2 linked regions of the Pelodiscus sinensis genome follow. The protein of the gene in region 1 purifies or fractionates together with the protein of each later gene. This does not show direct contact. Links are inferred from orthologs where the notes say so. Each region holds a gene or a part of one and is shown on either strand. Other genes may lie near its edges.

Region 1 (10,194 bases):
ATTGGTGCTTGAACTTTTTGTTATGGCTAATTCTACAGAGGAATGAATGCTAATATATATATTTGTAATATGGGGGATTGGATCAGCGGCTTCAAAGGAATAGTAGCTGTTGTTCTTCTGGCAGATTTTAGGCTGGATCTAAACAAAACTTTTTCTTAAGATCCCATGCCATTGCAACCTCTGGTGCAAGTGCAGCTCTACCATTGGTAGAAACTGTGGGATTACCAGTTTATATTATCCATTAACTTCTTCATCTTCATGTGGTCTAGATATCAGTCACCAACACCATATGCTTCCAGATCTCCTTTAATGGAAAGGTAGAGTTAGGAAGTGGACAGAAATACTGTGTCTTTCCCCTTTCAAGTCCAAAACATATCTCTATCTCCCTTGCTATAAGCACTGTAAGTGGGCATGCTCACTCATTACTGTACTCTGAAGTCAGGTCCCCAAGATCACATAACTGGGACTGGATGAATTACTCCAATAGGCTGTGGTAAAAAATACTACTGTTTAGGCAAGTGACTATGAAAATGAATAATGTTGTAGACTATTCTTTATATCTGTTTTTGACATTGAATTCAATGTATTGTCCTTCCATTTACATTGAGAATACATAGCTAAATTTTAGAAACTCTGTAGGGAAAATTGGAGGTACTGGCATGTGAATAAAGGAAAAAGCATTTGGACAAAAAAAAAAAAAAAAAAGCCTAGGGCAGTGATACTAAACTAGATCTATCCACAGGCTGATTTATGATTTTATGATAAGAGGCAAGCCATTTGTGTAAAAGGCAGATGAGAAAATAAACAAAAAGCCCCCCAAAACAACCACACTTCAGTTTCCAATAAATAAAGGCCCTGATTGCAATGTAAGTGTTAGTATTCCTATATTATAATGAAGATTATAAAACAAAATTATTGCCTATGTTTGTGGCAATCTTTAATTGGAGAAGCGACATTGATGATATCTGGCAAACTTTGTAAAGAGTGGTTTATAGGAGGTCAGGGCAAGGAGTATGCACTGGTGAAGATGCTCATCTGTCAGGTGATTGTAGGGTTGGTATTGAATGATATTTATAATGTTTATAGTACAAAACACAGATTTGTGGAGGTACATTGATCCAAACACTATTAAAAGATAGTTAGATTTTTGGCTATTCTGACACTGGTCATCATCTTGAGTCCAGAAATCACAAAGTCCCGCTTATCTCTATGCTCTCAAGCCTTAATATTTCTAATTGAAACACACCTTCAGCAAATGAATCAAGAATATTCTTTGCTTCAGAAGATCAAGGCCCATTCACAGAGACAACAAAGGGATCACAAACAAATAAAAGCAAATTCTTTGGAATTTTAAAATCTCAAATCACATTTTAATTGATCAGATTGCTGCGGACCTCTTACAGGCTACGTCTACACTGGCCCCTTTTCCGGAAGGGGCATGTAAATTTCAGCAGTCGTCGTAGGGAAATCCGCGGCATTTAAATAAAAATGTCCGCCGCTTTTTTCCGGCTTTTAAAAAAGCCGGAAAAGAGCGTCTAGACTGGCCCCGATCCTCCGGAAAAAGTGCCCTTTTCCGGAGGCTCTTATTCTTACTTCAAATAAGAGCCTCCGGAAAAGGGCACTTTTTCCGGAGGATCGGGGCCAGTCTAGATGCTCTTTTCCGGCTTTTTTAAAAGCCGGAAAAAAGCAGCGGACATTTTTATTTAAATGCCGCGGGGGATATTTAAATCCCCCGCGGATTTCCCTACGACGACTGCTGAAATTTACATGCCCCTTCCGGAAAAGGGGCCAGTGTAGACGTAGCCACATTGTTTTTATTTAGGTTTCATCTGTAGCAACAACATACAATGTGGGAAAATGCAACATCTTTCCTGTTAAGTCTGTCTGAAAGATTTTGAGATTTCTCTGAAAAAGACACACATTTTCAAAACAGATCTCTGACACTTCTTCTTAAACCCTTGTATTCCAAGTGGAGCATAGGTCATCTACAAGTCTCTTCCACTTCACTCTGTTTTGAGACAAAACTTCTAGCTGACTCCAGGAGTACCCCAGTTGTTGTCCTTCAATCTCAGTAGATCTTCTCCATGTTGTCTGAGGTCTTCCTCTTTTGCGTCTTCCTTGTAGGTTCCATGTGAGGGCTTGATGGACTATGCTGGATTATGGTTGTCTGAGAGAGTGGCCTAGCTATCCCCACTTTCTTCTCTTGACTTGTATATCAAGAGGTTCTTGTCCTGCTCTGTTCCAAAGCTCCTTATTTGTGACAAAATCTTGCCATTTGATGTGAAGGATGTACCTCAGGCATCTGTTTATGAATGTCTGTAGCTTGTGATTTAAGACTTTTTAATATGCCAGGTCTCACATCCATACAAGAGCACACTTTTCACATTTGTGTTGAAGATTCGCAGTTTCATCTTAGCAGATATTTGTGAACTCCATATGGGATGAAGAGTCTTGAACGCAGCTGTTGCTTTCCCCATCCTAGCATTGATATCCTTGTCTGTTCCTCTGTCTCTGCCCATAATACTCCCCACGTAGATGAACTGCTCCACATATTCCAGGTTATCCCCTCCCAGTGTGATGGTGGTGGTGTTGGACTCGTTGTTCCTCACTGTCTTGGTCTTTCCCTTGTGACTGCTCAGCCCAGTCATTGAGACAGTTTTTTCCAGTGTTGCAACCTTTTCTTCCATGTTGGTGTTAAGGGAGGGCGACATCGTTAGCAAAATCAATGACAGAACTGGAACTGTAAGCTGAGGGAATTCAAGTGACTAGTAATACTGCACAGAAAAGCTACCTGTGGAGTGAAGGTTCAGGGCGGCATTTTGCAGGGTGATATCCCACCTCCATTCGGCCAGTGTCCTGGGCTCACCACTACCATGCTGGAGCCTTCATATTTATTTATTGATAAATAAAATTTGCAAAATGTTAATATATTGTGTGCAGATTTTTTTTTGGCACAGAATTCCTCCAGGAGTAAGTATAAATGTGTATGGCAATGATATCTGCATTTCCTTGCATTTTGTTAAATATGCATATTTAATGAAGCATTAGTATATCCTAGAATTCTCAGGGATCTGACTGGGAGATATTTGAGTGACTAGTGATTATCTTCAAATAGATGGGAAAGATTCCAGAGGATTGGAAAATGGCATTGTATTTGCCCGATCTATAAAAAGGTGAATAAAGACAACTCAGGAAATTACAGACCAGTCAGTCAGCTTAACATCAGTGCACAGAAAGATAATGGAGCAAATAATTAAGCAATTAATTTGCAAATACCTAGATTTATCACCTTCTGTGTAGACTGTTATTTATCAAGAACAAATTGTGTCAAAACATCCAAACTACTTTCTTTAACAAGGTAATAAGTCTTGTGTATAGGGAAGGGAGGAAGTGATAGATGTGGGATATCTTGAATTTTGTAAGGCTTTTGATACTATCTCATAAACAAACTTGGAAAATTCAGACTAGATGGAGCTACTATAAGGTGAGTGCATAACTGGTTGGAAAACTGTTCCCAGAAATAGTTATGGTTGGAGGGCTTATCTCTTCACCCTCCCACTTCCATAATCCTTGTATGAACAAAGAATAGCAATAACCTGAAGTCTGGAGATGAAAACAATGTGATGTTTATTTGTGTTAGCTTCCAGCAAGCATGAATCCCATTTCCTTTTTCAAACTTACTTCTTGTTTTCCTTCAATTTATATAGTAATATTCTCAGCAATCCCTAAATCAATCATTTTACTGAAATTTAACTAACTATTCCTGACATTGTAACATAATGACCTAACCAATTATATCCCACCATCTTAATTGGTTTACACCCTGCAAAGTTAATTACACTGTGACAGAAGCAAAGTACTAGAGGCTATGTCTACACTATGGCTGTGTCTATATTGGCACCCCTTTCCGGAAAAGGGATGCTAATGAGACCAGTTGGAATTGCAAATGCCGTGGGGGATTTAAATATCTCCCGCGGCATTTGCATGAACATGGTTGCCGCTTTTTTCCGGCTCGGGGTTTTGCCGGAGAAAAACGCCGGTCTAGACGGGATCTTGCAGAAAATAAGCCCTTTTCCGGAAGATCCCTTATTCCTACTTTCCAGAAAAGGGCTTATTTTCCGCAAGATCCCGTCTAGACTTGCGTTTTTCTCCGGCAAAACCCTGAGCCGGAAAAAAGCGGCAGCCATGTTCATGCAAATGCCGCAGGGGATATTTAAATCCCCCACGGCATTTGCAATTCCGACTGGTCTCATTAGCATCCCTTTTCTGGAAAGGGGTGCCAATGTAGACACAGCCTATGGTTTTTTTCAGGATACCAGAAGTATCCCAAAAAAACGCTGCTGAGTCCAGGGAACGCGTGTGCATTTCCGCTTTTTTTTGTGGAAGTGGAAACATGCTCTTTTGCAAGCTCCTGTATTCCTCCTTCCCTGAGGAAGAAGGGAGCTTCTGAAAGAGGTTTTTTTTCCTGACATTTGGCCCATTCTAGATGGGTCAAATGTTGGAAAAGCCTCTTCTGACAAAAGAATCGGAAAAAGGTATGCAAAATGTGGAGGGCATTTTGCGTAGCTTTTTCCGACAAATACTTGTAGTCTAGACCTAGCCAGATCGACCATACAGATAAACAATAGAGAAGTGAGGACTATAATGACAAAACAATAAAGAAATGAGGATGTCACAGTACCCTCTCCTCTCTTTCTCTGGTATTTATTTGGAACTTGGACCCCTTAACTCCATGCATCTGAAGAAGTGGGTTGTGCCCATGAAAGTTCATGATACCATCTAGATTTTTTGTTAGTTTCTAAGTTGTTGCAAGACTATTTGTTATTTTTTTGTCAGTTACAGACTAACACAGTTACCCCCTCTGAAACTTTTGAGGTATATAAAAAGTTGTTACAAGATGGTAGGAAACAAATTGTTTTTAACTCCTGTAGATAGGACAAGAAGCAATGTTTGAATGTTTCTCCTGTCTTGTTTACTGACCGTATGCCTAAACCAGGGACTGTTAAACTGATCCTCAGAGATTGCCAGCAAATAATTGTTTATATTAACATCCACTGGTTTGCATTGCCTGCAGAAGTCTCACCTGCCCTACACTTTAATTTAAATAGGGAGATTTAAATATTTCCTTTGTGATATTAATAGTGTACCTGGACTACTGGAGGAAGCCAAAGACTGAAGATTAACATCCCTCTCTGAAGCAATGAACTAACTACTAACACACCCTTTCTGGCCATCCTTAGGCATGTGCAGTTGCCTAGGGTACCACTAAATTTAGGTTTGCTGCCTCAAATTTTATGGTGGCCTATGCTGCACGTACCTAGGGATGGGATGTTAAGCAGCCACAGGTTGTGCTGATCTGGTTTTGGTGGCCCCATCCCCACGCCACACGCCCTGCGGGGTCAACACTGGCTCTGTCGATACCAACCCCCCCACTCACTAGGCAGCGGTGAGTGGCGCAAGTGCAGGCCAAAGGGCTCCGGGGGAGCAGGTGGTAGCCACGCAGCCGGCGGCTGGAGAGAGGCGTTGTTTCCCCTTCACAGCTCTACTGCTCTTCGGCGGGCGTCGTGTCGGGCCTGCACTGTGTCGCCCATCTACTGCCCGGAGGCCTCCCTCCCTGCCCCGCTCCAGGATTCCCAACTCTACGGGACCGGACACTATCGCAGCAAATGGCATCAGGTCCGTTTGGTCAGAGAGTGGGCAGCCCCCGCCCCCGTGGGGGTGCGTGCGCTGGTGCGGAGCCGCGTAGGGCCCAGCACTGCCAGGGTCGGCTCTGACGCCTCCGGGAGCCCCACTCTTTGTGGCGGTCAAAATGGCCCCTTGCGATAAGGGAGCTTTAATGTATCCCTTAAAACGGAGCTGTGCCACGCCCGGCTCCCCGCAGGACACGCACTGGCCGCCGGGGAAGCGTAAGGGGCTCCCGGCTGTGAGATGCCGCTGCCCGGAGCGGTCACTCCGGCGGGGCCCGCGGACCGCTGCAAACTACACATCCCAGCATACGGCGCTCTACAGCCAGGCCCGGCGAGGCGTGCAGTATGCTGGGAACGCTCTGCGCTCCCCATTGTTCTCCCTCCGACACAAGTCCGCTCGCTCTCGCCCGGGCAGCAACAGCCGCTTCAGTCCAGGCTGGGGGACTTTTCCTTCCGCCTTGTGAGGCTGCGAGTGACTTGGTTAGCCTCCAATCAGTGCTTGCCTTTGCGCCTCCTGTAACCAATGAAAGGAGGAAGGAGGCGGGCCTGGGGCAGCCAGCAGGCTAGGACTAGGTGGCGCTGGGATAGGTTGTGTGAGAGTCCGCCTCAGACTCGAGAGGGAGGCGAGGCGCATTTAAAGGGCCAGCCCCAGAGTTGCCGGAAAGTTGTGTGGAGTTAAGGGGGGGGGGGCCGGCGGGGGCCTGTCAGGCGATATCGCGCCGCGGCGGACTGGGCTCAGCGCGCTTCCAGCCCACAGTGGCAGCATGGAGCCTGCAGCACCGAAAAGGTATCGAGCCCCGTCCTCGCTCTGGCACTGAGCGCAGCTGGCGGCGTGGTCTGGTGGGTGGGGGCAGGAGCTGGAGCTAGGCCTCGCCAGGCACCACTGGGCTACGGCCGGCGCCGCCCTCCCCCGGGACTGCTGGGATATGCCCCTTCTCTCCCCCACTGAGAGTGACGTGAGGAGACATTAGGCCCCCCGGCCTGTGATCCCCTCCTCCCCCTTCAGCCTTGGCGCTCCCCCTCCGTGGGGGGAGGGGACAGACGCCAGTTCAACCCTCCCTCCAACATTGGCGCTAAGCTCTCCCCCTCTGAGGTGGCACTATTGGTCGTAACCCCCTCTCCCATAAATCGCTTAACAGTCACTACCCAATGCTAGGGTGAATGCGAAGACTGGCATGTGCTTACACAATTTAGCACCAATTCCTATGGGGGTGGATGGAAATGTAGACTGGACACCTACAATGAGCCTTCCCCCAGCTCAGGGATTCTTCTTTGCTTTCTACAAACTTAGTTTATTCACGAGGGATGGAGGGTGGAAGAAGAGAACATAAAAACACCCAACATTAAAACTAATCCAGGAGGGAAATCCTAATATATCACTCTTCTGTCTATAGAACTAATTTTGGGATGGCAGAGATTGTAACAAACTTCCTTTCAATCTTACATTGCAATTGTAGTCTGAACCTGACTACAAATGACATTGAAATTCCATATTTTTATCTCAATCCCTTCTAAATAAATAATGCTCAGTTAGCTTCTTTTGTAAATCTTGGCCCTATGTATCTCAACTAATGGATTAAGTTAAATCAGCAACCCATATTATTCTGGAATAGCGGAATTTCTAAGTGAAGACTAACCTTTATTGAGCCCAACAGAGAACTGTCAGGATGACAATAAATCTTCTGTGAGATCAGACTACATAGTCTAGGCTCTGAACTTAAATCTATATTTTTAAAACTAATGCTGAGGAAGAAATTGACATCGTGTGCTATGGGTGTACCACTACTAGCTTCCGTGAGGCTCTGGGCATGCTTCACAGTGCAGCTTTTAGAGATTATATTGGTAAAGTATATTGCTTTTACATTTGAAAGATCCTAGTTTTTTCACTGCTACCTTTTAAAATTTCATTTTAAAAAAAGTTGCCCACATCTAACTGCAGATCTACACTACACATTGCAGGGCAATGCCACCCCATGAATACCGTAGCTGGAGTTGCCAGGACTTAGGTCGAGTTGCCACAGGGTCAGTGGGAGAAACTCTCCTTTCAACTTCCCTGATGCTACTCATTCTGATGGAGTACTGAAGTCGGCCAGAGAGACTGATCAGTGGTAGATTTAGAAGGTCTACGTGAAGACTTGCTAAATCAATCCCTAGGGAATTGATTGTCACAGCATCAGTCTCCCAGTAGGATACACCTGCCCTAAGACACAGCAGAAGCCAGGAGAATATGTGAATGTTCTGTTGGCTATAGACAATAATCAGTAATACTGAATAAAAGCTGCTTGGAGTGAAATATAGCTTAAGGACACTTAATTGTTTTTAGAGGACAGGAATTTGAAAAATCATGACTATATTATCACCTCTCCGTTTTAATTATGGTTCTTCTGGAGAAAAGCTTTTCACAAAATGTGAGCATCTGAAGCTAATTGCAACTAATGTATTATCCAGAATTTTTATTAGACTGTAACAGAACAATAATAAAAGCCATGGACTTCATCCAAATGATTTGGATGGAGCTTTTACTTGAAAAACACTGTTAAAATAGCTTAATCTCATAATTAGCAGATTTATTCAAGTAAATTAGGAAGATCCAAAATTAGAAACTCTTAACAAAAAACCCTTACTGTTGTGGAATTGACAACCCCAAAGGCTCATAAATTGTCAGGTCCCTGACAGATAATGATTTAAATACATTTTGAATTTTGAGCCTTTAGGGTTCATGTATTTAGGCTTTTCTCCACAACCATGAAGATGAGAAACTTGATTCCAGAGCTTTGTATACACATGTTAAAGTTTAAAGCGCTGCTGAGGTCTCCGAGCACTCTGTCAGTGTTTCTCAACTTTTTTTTTTTAAATATCCCTTTAAAAAAAAAAGGCCTCCCTTTTTTTAAAAAAAAATTGCAAGTACCCCCAGTACCTACAGTTTTCAGACACACACAATTTTTTTCTATCCTTGCAACACATTTGTTTAAACAACTTAATCATAGCCGGGTGAACAATGAAATTTTTGGGTGTAAAAAGTACAAAAATAATAAAGCGCTGTAAAACTTAACAAAATCAGTTTTCTCCAAATTTCAGTTGTATTGATGTACCCCTCAGACTGCTCTCGAGTACCCTTAAGGGTACTTGTACCACTCATTGAGAAACACTGCTCTAGGTAAACAATCTACATGAGGCAAGTAGCTAACAGTGCTTGGGCTGCAGCTCCCAGCGCTATAGCATTATTCACACTGGTGCTTTACAGTGCTGTAACTTGCTGATGCTGGTGGTTTTTTTTACACTCCTAAGTGAGAAAGTTAAGATGCACTAACTTGCTAGTGTAGACAAACCCCAAGAGCTGTTGCTTTAAGGAAAACACTAAAGGCCTCATCTAACAACAAAAGTTATATTGCCTTACCTTTGCTGATAGTTAATGGGGTATAGCCCCACCCTAGTGTGAATGCAGTTATAGTAGCATGAAGTGTTGATACCATTATAGCAGGGGTTCTCAAGCTTTTGTATTGGCGAATCCTTTCACAAAGCAAGTCTATGAATGTGACCCCTTTGTAAATGAAAACATTTAACACTATTATAAATGCTGCAGGTGAAACAAGGATTGGAGATAGAAGCTGACAGCTTGTGCCCCTCCCCCGTCCCCTATAACACCTCTAGTTTCAGAATCCCTGTGCTATAGTTTATTGATGAGTATAGTTTTATACCTCTTCCTTTAGAAGTATATTTGTTTTCTGTTAGAGGTGATTGTATTTTCTTTAACTGATGTAGATATAGTTGTACAAAATTGCCCTTAGACCAGGCCTTAATATCAATAATAGCAATACAGTTTTGAGAGTTAACTTATCATACATAATGTTGCTATGTGAACTATCATGCTTCAGCGCAAAACCCCAGACAAATTGATAAGGTGGGGGATTTAGGAGGAAACTTTCCTAGTGAGCAGGGGTATCCTCTGACTGCTGATTGCCAGCTTTCTTGTATCTTTCCTCTGAAGCATTGTTTCCCAAATGGTGTTCTGGGGAACCCCAGAGTTCTGTGAAGTGAAAATAAGGGTTCTGCAAGAAAATTCCATTACAATAACATTTTATGATTTAAAAAAATAAATATTTAAGCATTTATTAATTTTATTGAAAACAATTTTCATTTGTATTGATCTCATGACCTTGTTTAGCATTTGTTTATTATTATCCTTACTTATTTGTGGTCTACTTTTTCAGCTCCACGTAGAAGACTTATTAGGGGTTCCACAAAATTATTTCGAGTTTAAAAGGGTTCCGTGGCCAAATGAAATTGGGGAAACACTCCTCTGAAGCATATGTTACAGGGTACTTTTTGAGAGAGGGTTACAGAATAAGATGACTTTGTTTTAATCCAGCTCAGCAACTTTTGTGGTATTAAATATGTGTTTTAAAACAAGATATATTAATGACAACTCATTGAGGGTTTTTTGTTTTTTTTTTTGCAGGTGCATTTTTATTTTATCTGGTATATATTCAAACTAACACCAACTTTA
Region 2 (10,243 bases), on another chromosome or scaffold:
GAAGACTATCTGGGTCTCTGTGAAAGTGACCGAGAATAGGACTGTACCTGGAAGGGACGGAACACTGAGTGACCTAACTGGAGGGCTGAGTCATGAAGAGGACGCTGTGGTTTCTGGGATGAGAAAGGAATTGTAAATACGAGAAACAGACAGTGTGATGGTGTGCAACCACAGGAAGGGGTGTTGACCTCAAGAACTAATCCCAAGAATAACCAAGACGAGGCACCAGACAAGCAGTGAATAGAGCACCTTTTGACATTCATCTAAACATTGTAAATTAATTAAAAAAAGATTAATAATATAACCAGATCCCCAAGATGAAAACGCAGCCTTAAGTGTATCATCTGAGTTTGTTATACTATGATAGCTATTTGGTTAGCAAGTACAAAATGGATAAGTAACGTGAACCTTAAATATTTTTTTCAACAGTTGATAACGGTTTCTCTCTTTCTAAATCTGTATGGCTGCTTCTAGACTGGCATGATTTTGCAAAAATACTTTTAACGGAAAAGTTTTTCTGTTAAAAGTATTTCTGCAAAAGAGCATCTAGATTGGTCCCGGAGTTATCGTAACAACGTTGTGCTTTTGCACAAAAGCGCGTCTACACTGACCCTCTTGCGCAAAATCATTTCCACAAGAGGGCTTTTTCCTGAACGGAAGCGTCAAAGTTTTGCGCAAGAAGCACTGATTTCAGACAGTAGAACGTCAGTGCTCTTGCGCAAAATCAAGCGGCCAGTGTAGACAGTTGGCAAGTTTTTGCGCAAAAGCAACTGCTTTTGCACAAAATCTTGCCAGTCTAGACGCACCCTATGAGTACAGTTTAAATTCATTTTGCTATTTTTTATCCATATTAGTATATCTATGTAATTTTCCTGCAGGTGGGAAGTTGAAATTTTTTTGAAGGCCATGTGACATTGATTCAGCTTTGCACAGTACGTCTTCTCATTTCATCTGACTGAAGAGCTGATGATATGCTTCCATCCTGCAGAACATAAATGTGCTTTCAAATGTTATTTTTTCTTGTAAGACAACTTATTTTCAGGTAAGAAAAGCTTAGTATTATGAGACAAAGACAAGGCATCTTGAATCACAAAACAAATAAAACTAACAAAAACTACTTTCCCAAGTTTCAGAGCAAGTTATTGTATGTACAGCCATGTAACTGGATCTGCAATCTTCTCCAAGATTCATATCCATGAAGCTAGACCTGCATTTGTAACAAGCATGCAACTGTCCTCAATTTTACCTTAGATCAGACAGTTCCATGTGCTTGTGACTATCTAAGAAATACAAAACATCTGAGCCAAACTCAGTCCTCAAAGAATTTAGAAAGACAAAATATTTGTCTTACAAACAGTAGCCCCCTTAAGGTTTTTAATATTCCTACCACATTATAAATTGTCATATTTCATTTTCTGTAGTAATGTTATATCTATATAGTCTGTGGCAACACAATATAAAACATAAGACTATGGAATTATAGGCCTCAGCAGGATACTTGTATCAAATACATAGCTTAGGAGATCATCTAGTCCAAGCCCCGGGTCAAAGCTAAACAAAGCTTAACTAAATCATTTCAACCAGTGCTTTGTTCAACCTTGCTTTAAAAACCTCTAGGGATGGAGATTCCAGCACCTCCCTAGGTAACCTATTCCAGTGCTTCATCACCCTCCTAGTGAAATAGTTTTCCTAATATCCAACCTAATATCTTCCCCCAGCAACTTGAGACTGTTGCTTCTTGTTCTGTTATCTGCCACTACTGACAATACCTAGCTCCATCCTCTTTGGAATCCTGCTTCACATAGCTGAAGGCTGGTATCAAATTGCCTCTTGTTCTTCTCTTCTGAAGACTAATGAGCACAATTCTCTCAGCCTCTGCTCTTTAGTCATGTGCCCTGGCCCCCTAATAATTTTTGTTGCCTTCACCTGGTCTCTCTCTAATTTGTTCCATCCCTTCTGGGTGAGGAGTGGGGAGAGGGGGAACTGAATGCAATACTCCAGATGTGGCCTCACCAGTGCCAAATAAAGGAGAATAATTGCTTCCCTAGGGCTATGTCTACACAGCACCCTAAACTCAAAATAAGATTACGCAATTTGAATTGTGCAAATTGTGTTCTTATCTTGAATCTATTTTGAAATTTGAAATTTGGTATGTCTAACAGCACCACATTTCAAAATAACATGCTATTTTGAGCCATCCCTTATCCCTCTTACAAGGAGGCTTACCAGGATGGTGAAATAGTGCACCCATTATTTTGAAAAATATTTCAAAATAATGGGCAGCTTGTGTAGATGTAGGCTAGCTATTTCGGGATACCGGAGATATCCCGAAATAGCCATGCAGTGTAGACATATCCTAGAACTGCTCACAATGTTCCTCCTTATGCAGCTTAATATGTGGATAGCCTTCTTGGCAACAAGGGCACACTATTGACTCATATCCAGCTTCACATCTGCTATAATCTCCAAGCCCTTTTCTGCACAACTGCCACTTAGCCAGTGGGTCCCCAGTCCATAGCAGTGCATGAGATTCTTCCGTCCTAAGTGTAGGACTCTGCACTTGCCCTTGTTGACCCACATCAGATTTCTTTTGGCCTAATCCTCCAATTTGTCTAGGTCACTGTCCCTATGCTCCAGCATATCTACCTTCCCGCCCAGCTTAGTTTAATCCACAAACTTGCTGAGAGTGCAAACTAACCTATTTTCCAGATAATTAATAAAGATATTGAACAAAACTGGCCCCATGTATGTATGCCCCTAGGACACTCCGCTTGATATAGGCTGCCAACTAGACATCAAGCATATTGATTTCTACTTGTTGAGCCTGCAATCTAGCCAGCTTTCTATACCTTACAGTTTATACATCCAGACCATATTACTTTAACTTGCCAGCAAGAATACTATGGGAGGCCATATCTAAAGCTTTGTTAAAGTAAAGGTATATCACAGCCACCACTTTCCCCATACCCACAGAGCCACTTACCTTATCATAGAAGGCAATCAGTTTGGTCAGGCATGACTTGCCCTTCGTGAATCCACATTGACTGTTCCTGATCACCTTCCTCAAGTGTTTCAAAACACTTATTATAGTTATGGGGTTTTGTAGTGTTTGTTTTAAGTAAACCCTATCTCCTAAACCTCAACAGATAATTTTTCCAGAGTTGTTTGTTTCTGTGGTAGTGATTGTTTATTTATTTTTTAAATAGAAGACACTAGTCAGTCACCCATGTAATGCACCTTGTGTGATGAAATGCATTTAATACCATTAATGAACTTGACTCACTGTGATTGTGATGTGTGAAATCCTGGGAATCATTATCATTCTATTTTGCAAACGTGTAGTAAAATACTATTCAGATGCACCCTCTCCTCAGCTTATGGGTCAAATCCTGCTGATAATACACATGTATGCATACCAGAAAGCCCATGTGTGGAAACGGGAAAGAATTTTGGAAGTTGCTTGCATCTGTGCATTCCTCCACAAAATTACAGAGCCCTCTCAGCACGTCTGTAACTGAACTGGTGAATCAGTATGCGTGCAATGGGGTTTTGCAATGGGAAAATGGGGAAAAAAATACATCCATATGTATTTGTGTGTACTTGTATGTATCAACATAGACCAGTGCAAGGATACTATGAAAAACACTACAAACAGCAGGAAAAAAAGAAAACTATAGTCACAACTAGTAGAACATGGTTCATATTAGTGACACTTTTTGCAGCATATTTGTGTCCATTAAGACTTTTCTATTTTAGGAAACTTGCTAGGAATTGTTCAGTACAGTTTTTCTTTTCCACTGAGTTTTCTGGGTTTACATAACATGGCTGTCAAAATGCTTGTGCCTAGTTTATAACACAATTTACATGGCTAATAGCACCAAGGAAACTATATGAACGCAGGAAACATGGTGTCATGTAAATGCATGGTTAGAGGACACTCTAATCACATTTTAGCCAGCATTTGTCAGGCTCTCTGTTTTTATTTTGAGAAGGTTTATTCATGTTTAGAAACACCTGGTTATATGAAATGGCTATAACAAGACATGCAATATGGTCCTTAGTGAATAGGCAGGCAGGAGAAATGGGATTTATTTTTGGTTCTGTCACTGATCTGCTTTTTGTAACTTTAGACAAAACTCTCACTTCCCTGTGCCTCTTTTCTCTCATTGTTTCTTTTTCTTGCTTACTTGGACAGTAAACTCACCTAGGCAAAGACTCCCTTTATTTGCTTATACAGTGGTTAGCAACATGGAGTCCTGATCTTGGATGGGGCCCCAGGCCCTACTGTAATACAAATAAGTTATTGCTATTATATTTATAACATCTGAAATACATGTTTATTACAGTGATGCCAATGTGCAGTAAAAACAAACACATTTTGGGAACATAGGAGTTGACATACTTCATGAAAATAAGGTCTAGTCAGCTGACATTTTTTGTATTTGACAGGAGCCAGTGCTGTTTTCAGAGGAAAGTGCATTAAGCCCTGCATAAAGTAATGAGAGAACCTGTCCACAAGATAAGTGTCTTCTCAACTGGCTAGGGTAGAGGTTATCTTTATGCATTGGTGCACAAGAATTTACATCCTTTCTAAACTCACTATTCTGGATGTGTTCTTTCAGATGTTACTGGTGGAGCTCAGGCTCAAACTGTTTATGCAGGGACTGTGGTGTTTGTTTATTTCTGTAGTCTATCCAAGGCAGCATGGTAGGGCCATTTTGCAGGACTGAATTCTATAGCTACAGAGCACTGAGTTTGTTAACAAAGGCCTTTGTTTGAGGGTGTCTTAATACTGTAATTGGTTTTAAAATAAAAAGATGAGGGAATATGTGAATTCCTGCTGCTAAAAACACACTTTAGTATTCTACAGAATCTTCCCCAAGTTCTTTCAGCAGCAGTGTTATGGTGCAATGCAGGAGTTTGGAAACCACTACTGTGATTGTTGTGACACAGTACTTTTTAAAAAGGGATGTTATTTTTGTGAATGGAGATGGGGCCTGGACCAAAAGCTACATCCCCACGAGCCCCACAAGGTGACCTGTGGCTCTGCACTTCAGGACCTGCCCAATTCAAAATGGGCAAAACTTCAAGTTCTCATATGGATTGGGGTGCAAATTCTGTGGTTAGGGTCTTGGTGGAGTTATGACAGGCAAATTACGGTGCCATCCGAAGGTGCTGCTCCCATGCAGTTTTGGAGAGGAGAGGAAAGGAAAAGCTCTGTGCTGCGTGTCAGCTGAGGCTGGGGGGGAAAGAGGGGTCTGCTTCAGTCTGAACTTTTCCCTATCGTTGGAGCTGTGCTGAGGCCGGGGGTGCAGGGCTTCTCTGCAGAGGCAGGGGCCAGTTTGCTGGGCCCCAGGCCCCCCTCACCTTGCTCAGCCTCGGGCATTGTTTGCAAACCTCATTCCTTCTGCTTCCGGAGGCAGCGCCGGGGATGATTTGCTGCAGATGACATCAGCTGTGGATGCTGGAGCAGCGGCAGCAGCAACGCGCCGGGATGTGCCGGGTCCCCTCCTCCTCCTCCTCGGGTCCCAGCCCTGCACCGTCTCGGTATAAAAGCGCCGCCGCCTCCCCGCCCGCCTTCACTCGCCTGCTGCCCGCAGCCCGGCAGCACTCGGCAGCAGCTCCGCGCCGAGGCGCGACGCACCGCTGGAGACAACCCTTCCCCCATCCCGAGCAGCGGCCAGAGGAGGCGGAGAGGGGCCGGCAGGATGGCGACCGTGGTGGTGGAAGCGGAGCCGGACCCGTCTTGTAGTGTCCCCAGCCCGGCGCCCCCCTCGCCCAGCCTCTCGCACCGCTTCCTCGACAGCAAGTTCTACCTGCTGGTGGTCCTGGGCGAGCTGGTGACCGAGGAGCAGCTGAGACGGGCCATCGGCACCATAGAGCGAGGTAAGCGCCCGGCGCGGGGACAACCACAGGTTGCGCCCAAGTCTCTTCGGGAGACCCCCCCCCCCCCCCCGGCGCTTTTATCGGCAATAAATGCTCCGCGCCGGGACTCAGGGGGTTGCCTTCCCCGAGCCGCCAGGGGGGACCGCTCTGACGCGACCGCTCCCTGGGCTCGGCGGGGAGAAGCCTCTGCTGCGGGCTGCCGCGCGAACAGTTGGCAGGAGCTCAGCCCAGGCGGGCTCCAGCCTCCTTGGCTGCTGCCCCGCGCCTTGCCGGGGCGCGGAGGGAGGGCGGGCTGGGCTGCAGCTGTACCTACTGACTGGGGCGAGGGGGCTCTCGGTTTGGCGCAGAGGGGGAGAAACCGCCCTTTGCTCGTCGCGGGAGGGGCACCCCACCTTTGGTGTCATCAGTGCCCCGGGCCCTTTTTTGCCATTGCAGAAGGAAAGCCGTCCTGAGATCCCTGCCTGCTGGGGCGGGGCCGGGTCTTCTACCCCTTTCCTTCGCCTGCCTCGGATCTAGACTCCTAGGGGTCACTTCTTCACCGAGAATGTCTAGACATAAAGGACGGGGGACAGACGGCAGGAATGGGATCTTTGTGCACACGCTGCTGTTAATCTAGTAGTTGAGGTGCAGTGTCGTGAGACGTTCATGGCCAATGTGCAAAGCAGCAACAGCAGCAGAGATGAAGGAGGCTCCTTCTATATCGCATCGGCTCCCCCCACACAAAGATCTGCAGTTGGCTTTTGCTGCACCCACACTGCCCGAGACACAAGGAAGGGGGTGAACGAGTGAGACAACAGACCTCTTTGCCCCACCCCAACTGATCTCGAGTTTTTCCCACTCCTCAGATTCCTCCCCCCCCCCCCCCCCCCCGCCATTGTTACTGCGCTGTGCTAGTGATTTTTTCTGCAGAGGTCGTTCCGGTCTTCTGCAGCAGCAGCAGCAATGCCTCCTTCGCTTTCTCTATTCCCCTCTTGGTGCTGCTGGAGTCTGTCTGCCCAGAGATACCGGCTCGTGGGCGTGGTGCAGTCCGCACTGCGGTCCCTATGGCAGCCCATAGCGGACAAAGGGCGTTCACATAGACAAGAAAAATACATTTTTAAAATAAATATATATTTTAAAAACTGCATTTCCTCACAACAAAATAAAACCAAAGGGATTTCGAGAATGCTAGTTCTGAATAGCAAGGAACCCCTGAGCAGTAAAGCAGCTGCATCTATTGTTTCTAACTTTCAGCAATAGAGGTTTTTTTGTTTGAAATATTTACAGATACAGATTTTACAGAAGAACCACAAAAAGATTTAAGTGATTAAAATTTCAATAGCTGAACATTCACTTTCATAATTCTTACATTAGCCAGCTACAGGCTGCTGCTATGACTAAGGGTTTATTTGCTTTAATTTTTTTTAAAATCACAATTCCAGCAAAATAAAAGTGAAAACCAGAGATTTTTCTCAATAAATCCTTGACTATTGTTTCTAAAATAGATTTCAGTATTAGAAAATGTTATGACTGCACAATTAACATGCAATACAAATAAAATCATTAGTTACTAGATGCCATAATTTATTAAGCTACATGTTTTGGTAACATGTTTTTTTGTTTTGAGCTGATGAGGGTAGAGATTACAGAATTTCCATTGTCAGAGACCTTGAAACAGTGAATTGGTTACTGTTCCTGGTTTGTAGGTGTGGTTCAGCAGTCCCCATAGGACTTCAATTGTCTTTTCTATTGTTGCTTCATCACCCCCTATCTGTTTTACTTCCAAATTTATTTTTACTCCTTTCTGAGTAAGGCGTTAACCACCTTGTAAAATTACCTTTTTACTTTATAGCTGCCATTGTCTTGTAGTGAAAACTGCTGGTGCTCTGAAATTTAGAGCCACTTGATCATAGTATTGTCCTAATTTTACCCAAGTTTTGATTGACATAAAGCTGAGTTGGCTGTATTTTAAATCAAATTATTAATAATTAATAGAGCAAACGGATGTGTCTTCTGCCCTCAAGACATCTGATGTCATCCTTCCTCTGGAGAAATTCTCTTCAGGCTCTTGAAGCTACTGCTATGCAATTCCTGCTGTCTTGTTTCCATTGTTGCTAAGTTTTGTGAGTTTAGGTGGCATCTTTTAACATTTTAGATATTTATAAGCAACCCCGTGGGCCGTCTACTCAAAATGTTGGATTAGAAGTCATCTTTTTCCTGCAGGTGGCAGATGATCTGATTAGGAAGTCAACCACTGGAGCTGTTACTAATGTTCAGATGCTTTGTTCTGGATTAACACACTGGGGGAGTCCTTAGCTATATATTTGTGGAGCAAATATGGGCTTGATGAACCTCTTGTCTGAGGAAAGCATACTACTATCTGGAAAAAATAGTCCATTCCAAAACCATCCATTCTCAACAAGGCCTTCAGGAGTTCAACATCCCTGTTAAGTTTTCTTTGGTATGTCTTTTGAACATCCTCACTGAAGAATGTGGATTCTTTTACAGTACTGAAGAGAAACAGATATCAGAGAAGATATTATGTTGGTGATTTACATCAAATGATTGGTCTTGTACAGACTGGATGATTACAAATTCATTTGCTTTAAATTTTATGAAGAGAGACATTCTCATTTTGAATTTACCAACTGTATTTTAGAATTCTGAAGTATCTTTCTTGTTTTGAAATGGCAGTCTACTAGTGGTCTAGGATTGCCTTTTTATGTGTGAAAAATGGCTTCAAGATCTTCTTCTGTATAATTGGTCCAGGGTTAGGAACATCTGTATTCCTAATATTCCAGAAAAAAGGAATGATCCCAGTTCATTGTACTTCCACTGACTGCATGTATAACAATATAGTTATTTGTCTTTGAATTGCCCATAGTTCCAGATTTATCTCTATAAACCATCTCAATTATACCTAACGTTATCCCTTCTACTATTGGAAATTTGGTGTTTATCAGAAATGCTGAATCATGGACCTTCAAGTACAGAAAATGCTCTTTAAGATAAACAGTTACATATTATGTTAAGCTTCCAGCATTTTCTTGAATCTTGTATTTTTCGCATTGACAGACTGAGCAATCTGGCTCTGTTCCAGTACTGTATTGCAGAATCTCAAACTGGGCATAAATCCATATTCTACCTATTTGCATCAAAAGGATATCCATGCATCGATTTGATGGCAGGACAGACCCTATGTACTTGCAACATTGCTGTGTCAACATCTGTGTTCCTTAATAGATCTATCACAACAGCAGGCAAGATCTATTAAGCCTTTTAATCTGGCGTACGGCCTGCCCTGCTGGGACTCTTGGGCACGAAGCATCTCAAAGTTTCTGGCTGCTTCATGAGGCTCTCTGGAGGCAGAAACTAGCCAGTAGAAGATGAGAGATTGTTTTAGGGGTAGGGAGCATATGAAATCTTCTGCACCAGCACAGAAAGCCACATGGAACAGCCAATTGCTTTGAACCTGGGGCTGCAGCAGGCAGGGAGTGTGCCTGAAGGTCCCAATGTATCGCTGGATAAGAGCTACCTAGATAAACACCTCCTGGCCACAGCCTACCTTGGGCGCCCCAACCCCTCCACCCCACCCCAATACCCTGACTCCCTATCCTATGTCACCACCTAAACCTTCTGCATCCCTGCCCCAGGTCACAACTCCCTCCCAGACCCTGCACTTCCTCCTACACCCTTCTCCCAGGCTAGAATCCTCTCCTGCACCCATAGCCCCTCCTGGACCCTGCAGCACAAATCCCCTACCCAGGTTCCAACCTCCTCCTTCACCCAAACTCCCTCTCAGACCCCACACCCTCTCCTGCACTACAGTACCGTATCCCTAGATCCCTTCTGCACTCAACCTCCATACCAGATCCCGCACCATCTCCTGCACTACAGTACTGTATCCCTAGATCCCTTCTGCACTCAACCTCCATACCAGATCCCGCACCATCTCCATAGAAAAGTGCAGCTCTTGGACACTTCCCAAAATCTTGGAGTGGTCCCCATCAAAAATTGTTGCCCACCCCCTGCTCTATCAAATGCTTATAGTCTATCCCTAAACAGCACAATTTGTCATCATCCAGGGTTTGATATTATTTGTTCATAGAATCATAGGGTTGGAAGAGACCTCAGGAGGTCATCGAGTCTAATCCCCTGCCCAAAGCAGGGCCAACCCTAGATCATCCCAGCCAGAGGGCTTTGTCAATCTCGGACTTAAAAACCTGTAGGGATGGAGATTCCCTAGGTAACCGATTTCAGTGCTTCATCACTCTCCTAGTGAAATAGTTTTTCCTGATATCCAATCTAGACCTCCCCCCACTCGTCTGTATATTGCCCTAGTTGTGGATTTGTTTAGTCACCATTGCTTAGCTTTGTG

What was found. The genes of interacting proteins can lie anywhere in the genome.
Region 2: the proteins of STK3 (region 1) and MAP1B purify together in Homo sapiens (affinity purification with mass spectrometry; 4 studies listed by BioGRID and IntAct, with this or other methods). This does not show direct contact. The link is inferred for Pelodiscus sinensis from reciprocal best matches to the Homo sapiens genes STK3 and MAP1B.

The regions. Positions count from the first base shown.
Region 1 is NC_134712.1:37,213,650-37,223,843, forward strand, and holds the start of STK3 (serine/threonine-protein kinase 3), read left to right. Parts: upstream 1-6,235; 5' UTR 6,236-6,451; coding exon 6,452-6,474; intron 6,475-10,194. UniProt on the Homo sapiens protein: Stress-activated, pro-apoptotic kinase which, following caspase-cleavage, enters the nucleus and induces chromatin condensation followed by internucleosomal DNA fragmentation.
Region 2 is NC_134716.1:82,108,019-82,118,261, forward strand, and holds the start of MAP1B (microtubule-associated protein 1B), read left to right. Parts: upstream 1-5,084; 5' UTR 5,085-5,708; coding exon 5,709-5,886; intron 5,887-10,243. UniProt on the Homo sapiens protein: Facilitates tyrosination of alpha-tubulin in neuronal microtubules. Phosphorylated MAP1B is required for proper microtubule dynamics and plays a role in the cytoskeletal changes that accompany neuronal differentiation and neurite extension.